Linked DNA regions of Arabidopsis thaliana. The gene in region 1 interacts genetically with each later gene. Each region holds a gene or a part of one and is shown on either strand. Other genes may lie near its edges.

Evidence for each region.
Region 2: of EIN4 (region 1) and AT1G17345, extra expression of one rescues a mutant of the other (dosage rescue), as found in Arabidopsis thaliana (one study listed by BioGRID).
Region 3: of EIN4 (region 1) and AT5G20820, extra expression of one rescues a mutant of the other (dosage rescue), as found in Arabidopsis thaliana (one study listed by BioGRID).
Region 4: of EIN4 (region 1) and AT1G72430, extra expression of one rescues a mutant of the other (dosage rescue), as found in Arabidopsis thaliana (one study listed by BioGRID).

The regions. Positions count from the first base shown.
Region 1 is NC_003074.8:1,233,745-1,240,908, forward strand, and holds EIN4 (Signal transduction histidine kinase, hybrid-type, ethylene sensor), read right to left. Parts: upstream 4,873-7,164; 5' UTR 4,222-4,872; coding exon 2,461-4,221; intron 2,372-2,460; coding exon 1,832-2,371; 3' UTR 1,465-1,831; downstream 1-1,464. Other genes in the region: AT3G04590 (AT hook motif DNA-binding family protein), read right to left, coding at 5,501-5,559, 5,763-6,108, 6,250-6,402, 6,639-6,770, 6,952-7,004.
Region 2 is NC_003070.9:5,938,446-5,943,235, reverse strand, and holds AT1G17345 (SAUR-like auxin-responsive protein family), read right to left. Parts: upstream 2,945-4,790; 5' UTR 2,712-2,944; coding exon 2,316-2,711; 3' UTR 1,711-2,315; downstream 1-1,710. Other genes in the region: AT1G17350 (NADH:ubiquinone oxidoreductase intermediate-associated protein 30), read right to left, coding at 96-152, 387-500, 794-845. UniProt on the Arabidopsis thaliana protein: May be involved in the regulation of ethylene receptor signaling. Promotes cell expansion and plant growth.
Region 3 is NC_003076.8:7,045,712-7,049,868, forward strand, and holds AT5G20820 (SAUR-like auxin-responsive protein family), read right to left. Parts: upstream 1,736-4,157; 5' UTR 1,584-1,735; coding exon 1,200-1,583; 3' UTR 1,036-1,199; downstream 1-1,035. UniProt on the Arabidopsis thaliana protein: May be involved in the regulation of ethylene receptor signaling. Promotes cell expansion and plant growth. Involved in the regulation of cell elongation.
Region 4 is NC_003070.9:27,263,587-27,268,357, forward strand, and holds AT1G72430 (SAUR-like auxin-responsive protein family), read right to left. Parts: upstream 2,221-4,771; 5' UTR 1,924-2,220; coding exon 1,564-1,923; 3' UTR 1,016-1,563; downstream 1-1,015. Other genes in the region: EDA25 (CCAAT-binding factor), read right to left, coding at 4,739-4,771. UniProt on the Arabidopsis thaliana protein: May be involved in the regulation of ethylene receptor signaling. Promotes cell expansion and plant growth.

The DNA.
Region 1 (7,164 bases):
TTGAATTACTCACATAAATTAGTCCCCTTTGCAAATGTATGATTTGAAAAATAATTTATCTAGATCCAAGTAGTCAAGCAGATAAACAACAAAATATAATAGACTTATCTTTTGAATTTCTTATATTTATCTATTCCGAAAACTAGTCGTTGCTATTAAGGTGTGACGAAAATTTACATATATAAATTAATCTTTAGGCATACATAGAGCAATATTCATATCTAAGTCCAACAAAGTTAGCACTTTCTTCTAATGATTGAGTTAACTCAATTTAAATAAAATAAAGATAATTATCAAATAATCAAACCTGATTTTCAGGTTTTTAAATTGTAATTTAAGTAATTTGAAAAACTAGAAATTTGAAAAAGTGTTGTGTAGAAAGATCAAATCATAATTTTCTTGTGATATTTTATCAAAAAGGAAGCCCTAAACCGCACTCAAAAGACAATAATAATTAATTAGCCAAAAGTTAACAAGAGCAATTAACAAATAATACTTTGAAAAGGAATCCATAAACGAGCATTATTAAAAGTATAACTAAGACCACAAGATAAAAGCATTGCTTAGGGGTCCTAAAAAAACAATATAAAAGGATTTTTAAAACAATTAGTAGTACGCCGAGGTACTGCTTATCACATAAAAAGGAATAATTTTATAATTCCCAAGATAAATATCCGTTGTAGATGGTCCTCACTTTAAATAACACTCAAATGATAAATTGATAATGCGTATATGCATTTTTTTGTTAAAAGTTTTATTTTTCTTAATTTTACATCTTAATATATTGATAGTAGAAAAAAAGATTGAAAATTAGGAATAAATTGATATCCAATAACCATTACAAACTTCTGATTTTCTTTTGTCAATTGTTTGAGAGAAACGAGAACTGAATTAAAGCTAGAATGGGGATTTATTTTTTGTCGTTTGGTATTTGTTAATATCCAATCCAAATAAGTACATTTTAAAAAATTCGAACATCGATATGTCGAACATAATTTATAGCGTTACGTGATGTTCGTTCTTAAGACTACACAAAGCATTAAATAACATTAACTTTGGTGTTCGTATAGATACTAACATTTAGCAATCAAACGTTTGGTGTGGTGGTCTGGTCTAAACTTTAGTCTTTAAGAAAAAAACGTTTTTGCTGTCAAATAAAGTTTTTGCCGTCAAAAAAAGTATTTTTAAATAGACTTTTTGTTTATATCAAAAAACAAACAAAAAATACATTTGATAAAATACTAACTAAATTACATTGACAAAAAATAAATAATTAATAAATTTCATTTGATTTGATACAATATTATTTCTTTTTGGTTGACAAAGAAATGTCCAAAATATACAATGCTTGAAACATTCAGTCTGAATAGTAAAACTAAATAAAAAATGTCAAAAAATAGTAAACAAAGAATAAAAAGTTAGAGCAATAGATTAGAGAATACAAGCGATGAATTTTGACAAAATATGATGAATTTAATAATGAGATGCAAAAAAAGAATTGTATAAATATTCAGAGAGAATTTACTCAAGACAAAATTATAAAATTAATTATTATTAAATCTAATAAACTTATGTTATTTTTTCGCTAAAAATGCGAAATCATTACGTATAAATAGTTTCGAACCAACCAATCTCCAAACTAGGCTAAATAGAGAAAACTGACTCAATTCTCATCACTGTAGAACCGAGACAACAACAACAACAAAAACATTTCCCCAGAGAGGTGTCTCTATGCTTCACATCTTCAAAGAATCCTCACTCTGCTTTTCTTCGTTTCAAGATTTTTGCTTTTCAAGATTCATTGATATCTGCTTCCTTCTCTGAGCTCGAATCACTCGCTCGCGGTCTGCAAAGCCCGTCTAAGCTCAGAAGCCATAACATGCAAAAGAACCGGTTTCTGGATCATACCATTCATCCCCATTTGCAAACATCTTTCCCTAACATGATCTTCAGTACTAGCAGTCAAAGCTATAATCAATGGCCAATGATGTCCACAAAACTTCCTTATCTTCATTGCTACTTCGAAACCATCCATCTCCGGCATCTGCAGATCCAAAATCACAACTCTATACGACATTTCCACATTTGACAACGCATTCAAACACTCAAATCCAGACGAGACAGCAGTTACTTCGCAGCCGAGTTTCTCAAGAAGTCTCTTAGTCACGGTTCTGTTGACATCATCATCGTCTGCTAGAGTGATTCTTAGACCACGAAGAATGGAATTTGAATTCGGATGTTGAAGCTCTGGAGCATTTCCTGCTAAGATTGATCTCCTAATCGATGGTCTTGTCTGAAACCTCAGAACTAATTGCATACTCTGTGTTTGTCCATGCGATTTAGGTGATATCCATATGTTTCCTTGCATCATCTGCAAAACAAATTTCAAATCAAATACACTGTTTATAATTAGAATCTCTATATACCAAACAGAAACAGAGACATGATGAGATCACTAACCTGTGCAAGTTTTCTACACATGCCTAAGCTCAAGCCTTCCTTAATCCCATTGCTATGATATCTTCTGTTCGGAATATGTCTCATAGCCATAGCCGAACCATCCAATGGAGGATTCTGAATCTCATTAATCTCAACTTCAAATTTCACACCGAGGGAATCATCGGACATATGGGACTTCCACATTCCAGTTTCTCTTTTGCTCTTGTCCTGACTTGTTCCAGTACCTTCACAGATAACTCGGAACGTAACGGTTTTGCCTCCATCAGTCATATCCAAGATATACCCAAGCATATACATCACAAGCTGAAACGTTCTCTTTTCATCTCCTACTACTAAATTAGGCAACCGCGTTTGAACATCCATCTCAAAACCGTAACCTTTGTAAACGCTTAAGCATTTAGCAACACAAGCGGCTTCTCTTATCAAGGAATGTAGCTGGAACCGTTTAACCTCTAATGCAGATTTCCCGTTATCTTTAGGCGAAATGTCAATCACGTCGTTGATTAAAGCTGAGAGAACTGTGCTTGTTTTCATGAGCGCATCAACGATGATTTTCTGGTCAAGACTCATACTTTCGGACTGAAACATGGAGAGTAGACCAAGAATTGTGTGCATTGGTCTCCTCATTCCATGACTCATCACTTTCTGGCAAGTGTTCCTCGCTTGACTTGCCATCATCGCGTTCTGTTTTGCTCGAAGTAAAGCTCGGTTTTGAATACCGAGTTTTTCTCTCATTAACTGTGATTCTTCAAGAACTGAGGCATGAGAGATAGCAACCGCTACTTGATCAGCAACAACTTCCGCTATCTCGATCTCTTTATCGGTCCAAACCCGTGAATTCGCACTCGGAAGTACCAAAACCATTATAGCATAAGGAGTATCCACAAACTCGGGAGTGCCTCCTTTGAAATTCAATCCGTGAAGCATCGGCATCCGAATTGCAGCAACCGGTCCAAACTCTTCCGAACCGCCACAACCACTGCTCTCAACCGCAAGAACAGAGTTTTTCCTCAAAATTGTCACTACTTTGGTCTCCCTAACCTGAACAACATCGGGATCATTAATCGGGATTACCCTGAAACTCCTCATCGGATTCGCTCTAAGCTCATGAGTCAAATGCATCTCGGTTCTGTTCTCGTTAGGCATCCAAACAGCAGAGTTCTGTAAATCAAGAATCTTGGATAGCTCAACGAGAGTAGTCCGCAGAATCATATGCTTATCGAGCGATTTCCTGATCTCCCGAGTAAGCATTCTCACCTGCACACTCATTTCCTTCTGCCTCTTCATCAATCCAACCTCTTCATTAAGCTCCAACACATTCTGCTTCAAGTAAAGCTCTCTAACTTTCCATTTCAACAGCAACGGAATCAAAGTCAAGAGCGTGATAGCCGTGGCACACGAGACAAGCGCCGTGAGGAATTTAAAGATGGTAAGCCAAAGCATAAGCTGGAAAGAGTGTGGTCCGTAATACGTCCAAGCGTTAAGCAAATGAGTCATTCCACATAGGACAATAAAGGCAATGAATTGAACAAGAACCCATTTGAAAGGAACATTGGAGAAGCTAATGAAGTAGAGAAGCTCGAGAGGTATTGAGAAATAGGCAATGGCTATTAAGAGATCACTCACTCTTTGACATTCTAAGATGGTGTGGACACTTAAGAAACCTTCGTCGTCACAATTACAGCTCACGTAATCGTTATCACCAGAAACCAGAGCAAGAAGAGCAAACAGAAGCAATCCAAGACCTAAAGATCTTAACATCTTCTGATCCAATCTTTAATCTCTCTATCTAAAACCCTAATCAAATCCAGCCACAATCTTGAGGCTCTCTACAAGTTGAGATCCAATGAACCAATTAAACATAACTGACTTGGTATTCATAGATTTCCACAACGCGTAGAGACCAATGAGATTAAACAACTCCAAACACGCATACCCAGAAGAAGGCAAAGGAATCAAGATCTATGTTCCTCGATATTCGTAGTACTGAGAAAAGAAACCGCCTTTGAGTTTTTTTTTTTTAAATTCCAGGGGAAGGTAATCAGAGAAAAACGAAAGCTAAGATTCAAGCCAATAGAATAGAGAAAGAACACACCTCTCGAATCTAGTAAGATAAATAAGAAAGACCCATCTCCATTTGTAGCAACGAAATCGAGTCAATCTGACATCTTTTTCACAGAAGTTGGAGAAACAGAAGAAGTGATTAGAAAAGAGAAGAAACCGAGTTGGTCCGGTGGTGGCAGATCTTTTCCGGGAGTTTCAGTTGCGGATTTTCAGACTTGAGTCAACAATATTCAAAGTTTTTTTAAGACAAAAGCAGCAGACTTTTCGCTTAAGCAATTTCCGGAGAGTTGCTCAAGTCCATAAAAATGGTGGTGTTTCACTTTAAGCTTAGATGTCAACAAAAAATTCCCATTAAAGATAAGAATTTTTAACAGTAATTTTTGGCTTCACATAAGTTATAGCATTCCAACATTATCAATCAAGAAATTTACAAGTTGACAACTTGACATAAAGTTACCAAGAATTTTAAACTAAATCAATATTAATATGAATAAATAAACAGAATTCTCAAATGAGTTTTTTTGTTCTTCGTCAAATGAGTTAATGTTTTGGTCCAAGTAACGGCTCATAGGAACCGTTTACTAAATTAAGATAGGTTATGAATAATTAACATAAGTAGAAACCGAACAAACGAAGTGTATATATTTCACAAAAAGAGCATTTCCTTTTTTAGTAACAAACGAAAGAAAAACCAAAAAAAATATTATAAGAAAAGAAAAAGAGTATAAAAAAAAGGAATGAAATTGAAAGTGAAGGAGAATCGTTACTGAAAGTATAAAAAAAAGGTTGTGGAGTTAATATAATACACCGTACCAAGAAGAAGAACAAAAGCAATCACTCAGCAACTTCTTTCTATGATTAAAGACCCTTCAGACGAGTCTCTGTCTAATAAGTCCTCTCTCAGTTCAGATTCTTTGCTCGCCTTCTGTTTCTCTACTTGGGATCTAAACTCTACACACTTCTCCTGGAAGCTCTGCTAATCCGGTATTTGCTGCTCGTAATCTCCATTCTCCGACGACTCATGTCCTATCCTTCCTGCACAAGATTACATCCATCAGCGTTTCAAGCCATTGCCACAACGGAGAAGAGCTTTAGCCTGTAATCTTCTAGAACTCTACAAAATACTAATTTCCACCAATCTCCATAGCAATTCTAATCTGTCCTTGTTTGGATTTAAGGGTTTGAACTTTGATGAAGAAAGATGACATCTTTCGAGAAGTTTTGAGCTTTTTTGTTACCTGACAAATCATACCCGCCACCGCCTCTGCCATCATGACCGCTGTTGCCTCCTCCGCGCCATTCAGATGGCCTGGAATGTGTCATGTGTATCCCCTGCGGCGCTTGCATCATGAAATGATGAGGTCCACCCAAACCGGCTTGATGATGATGATGATCATGTTGCTCGTCGTTTCCCCTCATTGGATTTCTTCCCGTAGATTCCATACCAGGAGGGAAACCCATGCCAAGCAACTGTCCAGAGCTTACAGGAGAAGTTAACCGACTTCCACTGTTTGAAGCATCCCCTTTCCCACCACTCCCGGCGGCATCCTTCTTTCTATCAAGCTGAAACGTACCAAGAATCACCTGCATTTGCACAAATCTAAGGCGATCAATCAAAGCCAGACCTCCTATCTTAGGAAATGATCAGTTTTGTGTAAGATGGTTGGAAACAATAACAATGTTTCAATATATGCAAGTTGAAACTATGATACAACAGAATTGTACCTGAACCGGGCCAGCAGCTGTGAGATGGCTACCAATCGCTCCACCGATGATCTGACCATCTGAAGCAGATAAAGAAACGCTAAGGCCGCCGGATTTACCACCTTGTTCAGTTCGGATATAGGATCCAGATAGTGAGAGAATCTCGTATTGACCCTGAATAAATTTTTTGAAATTTGAGGCAAGTTTAACAATGATATGCAAACTTCAAAGAAAGTATCTGAATTAAGAATCTCTTTGCTTTATCAACATGCTAACTGTATTGTGTATCAATTTTCCTCTATCACACAGAATAGAGAGAAAGGATCAGAAAGAAAAAACCCTCCTCTCCCCTTTGGAAAGAAACAACAAAGAAGCAAGCTGAGTACTATTTTACTGCAAGAGAAAATCACCTCATATGGTAAGTTGCCTCCTGATGGAGCCGGTTGGCGCAAGGATGCATTAGAGATAGTGCCTGATGCAGAAAGAACGCATAGTTCATGCTTGCTTTGGTTTGCGAACATCATAATTTTCTGGACCACATCCTGACAGTATCACAAAGAGAACACTTAGAATCATTAAGGATCCTCCTCGATTTGCATTAGTATCAATGAAACAAAAAGAGAAATAGAATGACTTAGAATTGAAAGAATGATAGATATTGTGCCTACACCAACAAATCTCTATTACAAGTAAGGATCTTGAGTGTACAAGAACATGACATACCTCGCCAGGAGCTATATTAACAATATGCGGAGTAAAACATTGTCCAGTTTTCCCTGCACCAACAAAAAACTTGTAGTAAAGCTCAGAGTATAACACAAATTCCAGAATATAACTAAAGGATCACTTGAAAGATACTCAATGGGATCTAAAAAAGAAACAAATTGATAAACTATACAAACAAGAATCTAACTACACAATCTTCAGTGTAATTAA
Region 2 (4,790 bases), on another chromosome or scaffold:
AGAAATCTCATATTGTTTTATTGATGAACTTCATGACAACAAGACATGCTGGAGGGCCGATGATAGATCACAGAAGAAATTACAAAGTTGCTAACCAGTGCAATCTGATCCATCTCCTTTATCTGGGATCTCCAAGGAAGCCGAAGATAATCCTGTCAAATAAGTATCAAACTTCAAACAGGTTGCCACAAGATAAATATTAAAATGCATAGCATATTGTTTACATATCAATGTAAATCTGTGCAATGCCGATCTTCAGAAATCTTATTTTGTCTATAGTTGTTCATATGGATCACCGAGGCATGGAAATGAAAGGGATAATGACAACAGAAACAATATCAGATACTCTTTACGGAGCAGATGCTTAAACCTGTCAGCATAAGTACCTCCATATTCAGAGTCGGAATAGAGATGCCATTTCTTTAAGTCTTCTTTAGAGTGGAACTTAAATATATGCTTCTCTGCAGGTGGCACCCATTCTTCAACGTTCCATGTAAGAGCTAACAGTTTACAGGGTGAAGATAAGTCAGAAACTAGCAAATCTTTGCTGCATTCAAAAGCATAAAGGCTAGTATAGAAATATATATGTGATCCCAAAAGTTTGTAAGCATTGGAACATAGAAGCAACGTTATTGTTTCCTCAAACATCACTTGCAATCAGTCACTGTCTAATAAGTATAAGCACAAGCACAAAATAAAACGAAACATCAACACACAAACCAAAAAAAAAATCAAAAGATCAAAGAATCAAGTACGACACATGATAATTGACGGAAAAGTGGCAGGCGAATACCCTTCTTTGTCGCATTTACTGAGGCTTGCAACAACGATCGAAACCTTGACATGTCTCTGTAGCTGCTTTCCCAGATGAAAACAAAGAAAGCTTGTCTAAGATATATAAAAATGACTGTTAGGAATTAAAGCTCCAATTTTTCAATGGTAAACACTAAATGACACACACACAAAACCTCAATGATCAGAACCAGACTCCAGAAAACGTATAAAAAGTAATGTCTTTGCAAGGTTAGCTATATCAGAAGTTGACGCATCCTAAACAGAAACCATACGCTAGTGACTAAAGACTATTATTACCCTTTGAAGCTTTTCAACAAACACCTTGTCAGCCAAAAATCGATCAAGGTAATCACAAATGCAGCTGGTGAAAAAACAAATTGTCCCCAAATCCTTCAGAAAAACCCGACATATATCACAGACGCTAATAAAAAGGTTGCCATATGAATTCATATTCTGCTCCGAAATGCACAGGAAAGAAAAATCTCAGAACAAGAAGATCTGATAATTAGAACAAGCCAAATGCTAAAGACTAACTAAAACTATTCTAAAGTTTTAGAGTTTCCACTAAACGAAGCAAAGATGATAGGAACTCACTCACTGGATTTGCCGTCACCGTCGCACAATCAGCCTCTGTTTACCGATTAACAGTCAAACTTGAAGACCACCAAGCTGCACGTCACTGTTTCTACGCCACGATGCCGTTTTGCGAGACCAATCTTATTAAATGGGCCTATTTGGCCCAAGTTCTCCAATATATTCCCCAATAGTAAATCCACAAAGTGTCCATTTTTTTATACAGATTCAATTAATACGAATTTTTTTTCAACGTTGAAATACATAATTCTTTGTTTATATTCAGGCAAAGATATCCCATTATCTACATATAGGCTATAGCTTGACATGAGATATTAAGAACTACATAAATAATTATGCTGGTCGAGTTAATGAGCATCCTATATTTTATTATTTTATTAAAAACCACCATTATGATTACGAGCCATACATACTCACATCGTAGTCATGTTTAATTAATTACTCCAAGAAGTTTATACCTAATTTCACTTCACATTACAACTTGGATACACTTATAGACGTAGTTAGTAATTTATACTTAAATATTTGTTTCCGTGACAGCTTGATGCCACTAGAAAGGCAAGTAGGACAACCGTCCGTGCAATTGGGTAGCCCTGCGCATCATCATGTGGCGGCCACTTTTATTCTTTCGAAAATCTCATAACTACGTACTACTGTAGAGTACATGTATATCAAATGGAGCTAATCATAAAAAACAATTTTAGCATATGTTACAATTTATCATCATTTGGGGCAAGATACTACTACCCTCTTTCGACCGACATAATTATAATATTAGTTAAAGATTACTAGTTAACTCTAAAAATTTGCTCGGGAGAAAAACAAAAGCAAAGAAAATGGTCTGTGCATGACCGCATTATTGGATCATGTCGAATCAAATTCCAAAATTAACGAAATAAAAGTATATATGGATATGTATCGCGCCGTCAATAAGTATAGAACTCAGCCAACTCCTCGACGGATCCTCTTTCGCGATCATCCTCATCGCCGTGATCAGAGGAACTGTTTTTGAGCATCCATAACAAGTGCTCGAACAATACGACTTCGCAAGCTACTAAGACGGTCTCTTGGTCGTGACGTTCTTCGATAAATCTAGACGACCGGTCAAGTAGTTCTTGGAAAAGCGGATGAGCGATGACGTGGGAACTAAGCATGTAAGGTCTTCGTGACTTTCCGACGTAAACCACATGGAGATCCTCGCACTTTGAGACCTCAGATACGGCGGTAGAGGCGGTACACATGGTTGAATGGTGGTTCTTGGTCAAGGAAGGCCATTTCTTTATGGCAGACTTGAGCTTTGTCAGTTTACCGAATATAGCCATTAGCGAAAGTCTCTGATTTTTAGCAATAGTAGTAGTTTCTTGAAATTAAGATTATTGTTTTGTGTATGTTTTATCAGGAATTGAGAAACTAACTTTCTTGGTACGTAAGAAGGAAGTATTGGGTTCTTTGTATTTATATTGAGGGACAGGGAGAGAAAGAGAACAGCTAAGAAAGATAAAGGAGGCTACAAAATCTGTAAAACTGGTGTCCCCTTGCTCTAAATTTTATTTAATAATCTATATTATATATTATGTGTAAGTGTGTGTGGATGCATGTTGATATGTGCATACGTGTGTATGTGGGCTGGACAATCTACTCTTGTGTCTTGTTGTGCAATGAATCGGACCAAGCAAGGGTGATCGATGATTTTTAGATAAAGATTACATCATGATTGAGATAAGATCTCCATGATAATTATATTTAGTGTCGCGCTTAAAGTTACGGTTTTGGCCGAAAGAATAGGGTGTATAGTAATTTAGCTTTTTAATTATTACACACAAAATCTTGTAGTTTAGTTATTATATATATGTTTTTTTGAACACAAGCGGTCCATATATTTTAATATGTACGTATTTAAATTTATACTTTCTTGAATAAAAACTAATTCGACAATTGAAGTCATAAAACAAAAGCATCTGTCTTTGATCGAACTGCACATTGTGGGAGATAAGCTAATTGGTAAAAGAAGTATAGAAAACCTTTATAAAGTGATCCAAACTTGTTTTTATCAATAGTTTAGCCTAAGAGAAATCAAACAACAAAATAGTCGTCGATCATCATTAGTTAAATACCTTAGTGATAGTGATTAATGTTGATTAATTAGTAGTAGTAATCTGTGTGATGATTTATATATATATATGTATAAAAAGAATCCAGATATAAACCTGTTTATCGCACGTAAACAATACCCTGCTTATGTGCATTTGACTCTGTGATCGGTTCAATGTACTACACTAAAATATTTCTTCGAAAATATAATACGTTTTAAAAATACTAATATATAAATGTTGACATTGTGATGCTACAATTTTGTAATCAAGAACTCGTTTGGTATATTCTGAACTGTAGACAGAACCCCTGGTTCTCGTAGACAATGTAGTGTATAACATACTAACTCAGTTGATTGAACTTTTATTGTTAATCTAACCTCATCGAATTGAATTCTGAAACATTGAAGAAAAGAGCTGTATATTTTTTTTTATTAATCTCAGAAATATCCGACAGCTTTTGGTTTTGGTGGGCGAACAATTGCCAGCCAACAGCCAACAAAATCAAATTATTTAATGAGAAGAATTAAATAAAAATATTCTGAACAAATAAGTTAGTTGCAAGAGCAAATTAGCCAGTTGGGATGTTCTTGTTCTTCAAGAGTGCGTTACACCTTTTCCTTGGTTTAACCAGCCAATTAAAAAGATTTTGTTTAATGAAAAGAGTTTGAAACATGAAGCATCTAAAAAAATCCTAATCTTGTTACACTTTTTCTTTTGTCCACATTTTTAAGTACTCTATATAGGAAGGTGTGTTGCTGAAGTCAGCCCATTACACGACGTGTCAAGAAAGCCTTAGGTGGTATACTACAGAGGCTCCTGTCGTCTAACATAAAGTGTTTTCGGGTGCAAAAAGATAAATATTTTTGGGGCCAGATTTCTTAGAAATTAGCCGGTCTCGAAACGCAGGCCTCTCTAACCTTTAAAGAAACCTTTTGGCAATAATTCTATCAGGATGCTATGTTTTAGTTTGTTGGTAACTTTTCAACACAATGGATTCAAAGGTCTAATAACACAATTTATTGCCGCGCATGAATTGGCGGTTAATAAATTACGAAAAAAATGGAAAAACAAACAAACCAAACCCTCTATATATACCAAAAACAGAAAAACAGAATCAAACTTTGTGGGTGGTGGTGAAAAAACAAGAATGAAATCTATTTTGCTAAGAATAGAAAGAAAGAAAGAAAAAAAAAAGAAAACAAGAAACGTGGATCTTTACAAAGGTATGAGTCGGATATTTACAAGATGTAACTGTTATTCTGTGCTTTTCCTGTTATTACGACTCTGTTCAACCCTGCCGTACCTGCC
Region 3 (4,157 bases), on another chromosome or scaffold:
ATTGATTCTCCATTCTTTTTTCAAGGGGGATTTAAGTTTTAGGACATGTATGTTAGATGTGAAAAAATTTGGTGGTCAAAGTGTGATACGAAACAAAAATATAACTTCTTGTACGAAAACATGTTCACATTTCTTGTCTTCTTCTTCGATGTTGTTATCGAAAATTGTTATGTGTGACAATCAAGTAGACTAATGAATAATATGCAACAATGTGGGGAAGATGGATTGTGGTCGAATTGTCAAGAACTGGTCGGATTTGGTATATAATTCGTATACACTACTTACGATTGTTTGGGCCGGAGCTAACAGTTAAAGAATTCTCCCAAACAGCATGCACTCGAATTCAGGAAAGACACAACTTCACCCTTTGCTATGGGACCAAAGTCACCAAGCACTACTTATTTGGTTTTCCATGTGTTTCCAATCTCCAAAAAGCGGTGTACCCCATTCCAAGTCTTGCATTCGTCTGTTAGCGATCCAGTCAGAAAAAAATTTCGTTTCTAATTTTTCACATAAAGCCTAAATATGTTTAATCGTTTTTTTTTTCATTCTGCATTTTACCAAATAAAATCAGTTTCTTACATGACTTTTGCCAAAACAAAAATTAAAAAACATCACATGTAGATTTAATTTATTATATTTTTTTTTCTCAGTCATCATATTTCTTTTGCGACTTTAAAAGATGCAAATCCGTCTAGACTTTATCAAAATTATTTATCTATATAATACGTTCATTGTTTAATTGTTTAGTTTGTATGTTTATGTGCAATTGTGCATGACATGCGTGTATACGTATGTTTTTATGGAAAAAAAAAGATACACGGATAAATTTTATAAATATATTTAAATACGTAGGGGCCAATCAATCTAAAGTAGATAAGATGAATTGATTAGGGTTTGAAATTTTGTAGCCCGTGATTGATCTAGTTCACGAAGTCAGTCAAATACAACATTGACATTGCAATTAGTTTTAGCTCTTTGTATAACCATTAAAAAATCATCATTTTTAAACTACATTGCAACTTGCAAGACAATATTTACACATTTAAACATTTATTTTATCGTTGTTGTATCATTTAACAGAAAATAGATTATTTCACGAAATACTATGTAAAGTGTAAAGTATACAAAGTGTAGAATATACAAACATGTAACATTTAATCATAAATATATTTTGAACCTAAATTAATCATAAAGAGTTAACAAGCGTAGAACTCGACAAGTTCGTAGACCGACTCGGGGCGTGACTCATCGGCGTCGGCGTTCTCCAACATCCAAAGCAAATGCTCAAACAAGACAACTTCGCACGACACAGAGATGGAACCGTCCTCGCTGCCGCATCCACCATCCACCGCCGCTAGCTGCTGGAAGAGCGGGTGGCTCACGACATCGGAGCTCACGTGGTATGTCCTCCGTGTTCGGCCTACGTAGACAGTTTGAAGGTCTTCAGAGGGGAACGCACTCACGGCGGAGGATCGGCTGTGATTGGTTTGAGCTGGTGGCTGGTTAGGCTTGGTGTTGAATGAATTGAGTTTCTTCAAAACTGATTTCAGCTTCATCAGTTTGTTTCCTCCTTTCGCCATTACCGATTCGGTTTGGAGAAGTTTGACGTCGGAAATGTAAGTCCGAGTGAGTTTTCCGGTGAGAGAGAGAGAGAGAGAGAAGCGAGGAAGAGGAATGTCGATGTCGAAGAGAGAAAGGAGAATGATGTTCTTATATAACTTGCTAAGGGTAGATTCGTAATTATAGTATTATTATTTTCAGTATAATTTCATGGTTTTAATAAGTTTGAGAACGTTTAGGTTATCAACCGATTTTTGAATAGCCATTATCCAATGATCTAAAAGTTTCCAAGAGCCGGAAGCAATTATTCGAAAAGATTATGATTATGAATTGGAAAGATAAAGCTAAAAGTATATATTAAAACATGCAAACCCACATCACTCCAAAAGTTTTTGTTATCCCAGTCAACCATATACATCATCATTTCCCCATAACCATTTTCTTAAAACTAAATTTGGCTAACGTTTTAACTACGTTGTGGTAAGAACCTTCGAGACTTCGAGTGTGTAAAGTGTAAACTTATATTTTGGATGAATTTTTGTTAAGTTTGGATCTTCATCACATTTGTTTTTGTGTCATTTCAATCCAAATGATGAAGTAACGAGTACCACAAACTTACTAGATTATATGTTCTATTCAATATGTACTTTTCTTCAAAGGATTTTCATAGTATTTATTAGAAACTTTAAATATATTCTCTTTTCTTTCAACGAATTTCAGTTAGATATTTAACTACGACAATTTTTCTTCTAAAAATTTATGGAGTTCCCATTTTTCTCGTTTATATAAAATATAAATTTCTTTGAATGAAGATCATAACAATATAAATGAAGCTGTGAACTTTATGTAATCACTTGATTATAATAAACTAATCCAACAACTAAAGGAGGTTCATGAACTTCTAAAGCGGCTTATTAGTTCTAATTAGTTAGGTAAGTAATTGGCTATCTCTGCTTTTGATTAAAAAAATTATCTTCTCTTTTTTTACACATAACATGTTACAATAACAAATACTATAAAATTGCAAAATTTTGTCATTTTGTTGTGGTTAGATTAGACTCCGACATTATTCATTTGTGAAGTTTATTTATTATTTACGTAGTATTGGCTTCTACTGTTACAGCATGTGAGTTCCGGAAGATTTGTCTTCTTCTTTTTTTACGTAAAATTGTTTATATCATAATCAGCCGACACAAGGGCATCAAATGTCTTTCTAATCATGTAACCAAAATATTAATATGAAATTGGACCTCCTCCTAGTTTGTCTACTTATAATTAATTGAAAAGTTTATCAATCTTCGTAATAAACTAGACATCATATTAATTAAAAGTGTGAGATTTATAAAAGATTGGCGGAAGAGTCCAAGTAAAGATAATATAGAAGAAATTAAGATGAGAGCAACGACCAATCACAGATTTATAGTATCAAATAAATTTGTTAGTGAAAATGTCAAGTTCTCTATTTTTGGGCGGACTCGATCACCTGCCAAAGCGTCAAGCTGTACTAGAGGAACCGTTTAGACGACTGAAGTTTCTTTCCCAAAAGGCCAAAAAACGTTGAAAAACTATCTTATAATGCATATGCATTCATAGTTTACGTTCACCATTGCAGACATATAATCTAAACCTTTGAAAAACCTAAAGCTAGCATGGAACTTACTCATAAAGTTGATACAAAGCTTTAGTTCTTAATATCAGAATTGCCTTAAACAAAGGGGAATGCACACACATGTGTGTTCCCCACTATTTAAGTGGTGCATAGCCCGTGGACAATAAAACCAAACATTTGTTTTGAGGAAACATTTATAAACAATACCAAAAGTTTAATAAATACTTAAACCGCTTCTATTCCCTCTTAGTGTATGTTGGTAAGCGAGGACCCATTTGGATCCTTTGATGTCTTTATTCAAAATATTGTATCATTAAAATATATATTGTCGGAAACCCAAAAATTCTCCCTATATTATTATCCCTATTTCTTCCAAATTATTATTACCTAATTAGAATCAATTTTATATCATACTTTCATAAATCCATGTCTTAATCACAAGGTGGAGAATCGGAGATACATGTAAATGATATGGACTAATCATAAGGATTATAACTCTGACACAAGGGTTATAAAAATGAGAAATGCTTCGAATCTATAATCATCAGAAGAAATAATATCATCCAATTTCTACCAACTTAGGTTATTTGATCAAGTTGTTCCACACATATATTATACAACATCGACATGAAAATCCGTCTTGTTACAAAGATTGTTGCACTATACATGTGAGAAAATCGACCATCGTCAAACATACCAAAACAGAAAAGACATGTGCAACAAGTTGGTGTGTATTGACTTATGCGTCCCTCTCCACTTGCATACTATTAATGACACTCTTAAATCTTAATACAATATGTGAATTATTTGATTGTAGCACAAGATCAAGTAACATTTGTAGATGAACTGAAGTTGAATGTACCTCTACGGGAGGCAGTAGATGTGAGTTATCATGTTATGTGTTTAGGACATTCGACCAATCAAGGAGTGAAAATGGTCAAAATGCTAAGGCTGAGTCAAAATATTCAACAAGATGGTTAAAGCT
Region 4 (4,771 bases), on another chromosome or scaffold:
CAAAAACAAGAGAAATCAAATCGTCAAGACAAAGGATGAGTTTGGTTTCACTTCACCTGAGCTTTCATGAAGTTGTCCTTCCCTTGAGAGTCTTCTTGCTAGTCCCCCTCTTATTGTTGAGACCTTCTGTTCAGGTTAGAGTGTTTGACACTAAGTTAAAACTAAACGGTGTCGTTTCATAACTCCCATCTCTTTGCACGGCCCACTAAGGCCCAACACTGTCTTTTGGTCGTTACAATTTCTTCTAGTAACTAACCTGAGTTCGAATCAAATGTAATTATTAATTTCTTCTATAATCAACGTTAAAACAAGCAGCAACCCATAACAATTTAGCTACCAACCGAGTTTATATAAACACTATAATATCATAGGATTGATGTAATGTAAGGAACAAGACAGAAGTAGAAGAAGAAGTCCCATGAAGTTTGCTGAAAAGACACACCGAGTGACTTGTCAATCATTAGCGTGTCGGAATCAATTAACAAGCTTAATTAAACTTAGCAAAGAAACTTCTTTTCTTTGATTATAATGATTAGAACTTCGTCCTACGTAGGAAATTAATTTATTTTGGTCTTACTAATTATACTTATCTTCAATAATTATTCTGCGCGTCCTTTTCGTACCCACCTCGGAAAATTAATGTCAGTTATTTTATCTACCAATTTATGTCTATAAACGTATATTAATGCACATATGTTGGTGTAAGTAATGCCAATTAGTACAACAAACTACAAATTTATTAGTATATCGACTAATTAACCTGTAAGCTTTAATTTATTTTGTATGGCTGAAAGTTCAAGAATATTAAAAGATAAATATATAATGTCTGCAACTAGAAAGGAGAGTAGGGACATGAAATTGGGACCAGGTCACCAACGCGTCATGAGAGCGACCATTATTATTTCCTTAAAAGAAATTGCATACGTATTTTCTATTTTATACACACACAAAAATAGATTTGAAACTGACACCATACAAATGATACGCAAAAAAAAAAAAAAATGAATATCGATGATAGAAATCATTGCTAGTCATATTTTGTTTATATAAAGCAAAATAAATGAATTGGACTCATCATATTCAACCAACTTTTGTTTATCGAACATCATCAAAGGCCTTCTTTATTATGTCATGAGACTCATGACTCATATGAGAAAGATACGTTACGAAAATAGAAACAAAAGTTTACAAAACCGCCATAATAAAATAAATATAGAAACAAAACCTACCAGAAAACTTAGTTTGTTTTCTTGAAATCATTGCATTCTTTTTTTATGTATATTACAATTAATATAGGTACTGAAATACATTTTGAAGGAAAATATATATAAAGATTGTTGTTAGTAGAAATTTATTCTTGGTTGGTCTTAACAAAGTAAGAAAACTACATATGCTCATCATCATCATAAAATTGCTCAGAAAAACGGAAGCAAATGACATGGTTTACGAGATCACGTTTTGATCACACACCGCATCGAATGAAAATACAAATCAGCAACAACAAACAACAACAAAAAAGGTATATATTATACGAAATAAATGTATAAAATCAATCGGTCGATGTCAATAAGTATAGAACTCAGCCAATTCTTCAACGGATCCTCCTTCTTGACCAGACTTGAGCATCCACAGCAAGTGCTCGAACAAAACGACTTCACAAGCTACAACAATCTCACGATCTTGTTCGATGGATCTAGAAGAAGACCGATCCACGAGTTCTTGAAAGAGTGGGTGAGAGATGATGTCTGGTCTAAGCATGTAAGGTCTTCGAGTTTGACCAACGTAAACCACATGGAGATTGTTGTCTTCTGAGAGTTCGTCGGAAACAGCGGCTGAGGAGGTTGAGTGGTGGTGGTTCTTGGCGAAAGAAGGCCATTTCTTCATAGCCGACTTAAGCTTTGTCAGCTTCCCAACTTTGGCCATTGCTAACGAAATTGAACTTTTTTCTTGGGGTTGGAACAAGAGAGTTGTTGAAACTAGCTAGGGTTTAGGGTTTACGAGGAGATTTATATGTGTTGATGTGAGTGTGTGTGGGGATCAAAATATTGGAAGAAGAAGAGAGGAATGTTTGAGAGATGTTCTTGGGAGGAAATAACGAGGAAGGTTCGTGTATATATATTGAGTGAGATAGAGAGAGAACGTATAGGTGCATGACCCACCGATTGATGCATAACAGCTAAGAGAGATGAGGACATAAATGGCAAAACTAGTATCGTTTTTTGCCCATTGTTTTTTCTTTCTTTTTTGTTGTATCTTGTAATTATATATTGAGATTCGTAATAATTTTAATTTTGTAATAAATTTTGCCATATTCATTCATTTATTTTCATGTTACAAATTACACTTGCTGATAAGAAAAATATTGTAAAATTATGATAGATGGATGAGGGAATGATACGGTCTACGAAAAAACTGATAAATACGTTCTATTAAAAAAAACAGATATAACAAGTGATCATTACACCATTAATTTATTTGGCTAAATATATATATATATATATATCAATAAAAAATACATAATAAATAACATTTTATCTAATTTAACATAACAAAACTATTAAATTATTTGATACAATTTTTTTTCCTTTTTATATATATTTGATACTATATATACACACTATTTCTCTTACCTGTGACATTTTGTTTTGCCTACATAAATGTCAGACACCACAAATCCAGTTTTGGAAATGCTTGCTTGATAAACATTCATGTTTGTTGTATAATTTTTTTTTAAATTGTATTTTGTATATTATGATGTCTTATAGTATATAATAATTTGTAGATATATACATATACGTGCGGTGAGTAGAGATGTGTAGGCAACCTCTTATTGCGTGTTGTTGTCTAATGATCGGACAAAGAGCGATGTTTTTTAGATAACGATTACATCTTGTCCACAATTTTGTTCAATATTACCCGATAATGCTAATTTTTTGTCGTTCATATTATCATGTACTATAGAAAACAAGTATGGTCTTCATCTGTCGATTTACCTTCGATTTTCTTCATTTCATATTAAGAACATAAATTAGATATGAACATTCAAAAAGCATACTATAAAATTAAACTCGTAAACTCATATAATTTACACGGTAATTAGGTTTTATTGACGGATGCAAAAACTAACCACAAGCATATTATGCTCTTTTCGACAAGACACAGTCCTTTTATCTAGTGCAAATGCATAATCATAAATATTGCTCATTCTTTTCATAAAGTTAGTTTGGCATTTCCGAGAAATTAGGTGGAGAAGACCTTACCTTACCGTCTGTCTTTTATCGAACAAAAAAAGTTGTGGATGGTAAGCTAATCATTTAAGGAATTTTTAGATACTTCTTTTTTATAAATGGTCGAACATATAGTACTTGTTTATAGCAAAAGAAATAAAATAGTAATATAGTACTCTCTCATCATTAAACATTAGATAACTATCTTTATCTTAATGTACTTATGTAGCTAGTAAAACATCAAACCAGACCTACAATTTGATCAAGAGTGAAATATTTTATTTTTGAATAGTGAAGATCTTAGAGAATTTTTGAAGATTTGAAGAAAGGAAAATGATACGCGCATATATGCAGCATATACATACTGGCATCACACGAAACAAACAAGCAATCTGAATTTAGGAATACTAATTACTTCCGATTCGTAATCATTGCAATGATTAGCATAAATCGAGTTATGCTATAACTTAATTATATAAAGGTAGCAACATGTATTACTTAATATTCTAAGGTGTGATACTTTTAGAAATTCATTTTTTTGGATTAGATTAAATATTACTAAAAAGGTTAGAAACTTAATTTAAGAGAAATTTTCGATTAGTTGTATTAAAAACAAGCTAGAGTCCAAAATTAAAGTAGAGACAAGCCAGTTAGGATGGTGTTGTTCATGTTAAGTGCGCGACAATTGTGCAACTAATCTACTTTTATTTTTTTCGACTTCTATATAATACGTCTTTCATACATTTATATACTTCATATTGTAAAAGAAATTAGCATAAAGGTAAACACTAAACAGTCACTGTTTTCTTAAAGTATCTCTGTCTATAAATTGTTAGCGTAGTAGTTGAAAATTGTTGCCTAATGTATATTATCGATATATTAGAAGGATTTATTGGTTAATGAATTTTTATTGATTTTAAAATTCAAAGCAAACATAATTTTATATTCGTGTTTAAATAATGGTCTACTGTTTCTACCAAAAAGAAATAATGGTCTAGTGTTTTTTATTTATTTGACCTGATCCATTTATGGATTTGGACATATTTCAGAAATTTTTTTCATAATGGGTTTAGGTTGGAAATGTTTTTTTTTTTTAATACGATTTTAAAGGATCGGTTATCCCTAAAAAAAAGTAAGATTTAAGGTTACATAAGAACTAAGCATGTCTTAATCATATCACTCAAGTAAAGATCAAAGATGATTTTACTAACTACCCAATTACCACTATATCAACTTGGATTCTCACGCCTGCCATAATACCATCACATTCACATCACTAAGTTCAATATTTGATTTTAAAAATACTCAATTTTTGTGATATTTGAACAAAGTTTCAAGTGATTAAATTAAAACATAATCGTACAGTTATTCTCTTCAAAGATGAAAACATTAGGAAGAAAGAAATACAAAACAAACGCCACAAAATTGGAGTGACTATCTCCAGCGTTACACAGTATAATAATAATACTCAACATAAGGAGCCTTGCATAGCAAGCAACAAGTCTTGCTTCTTACTCTGATGCTTTAGACTTCTTCTTTTTCTT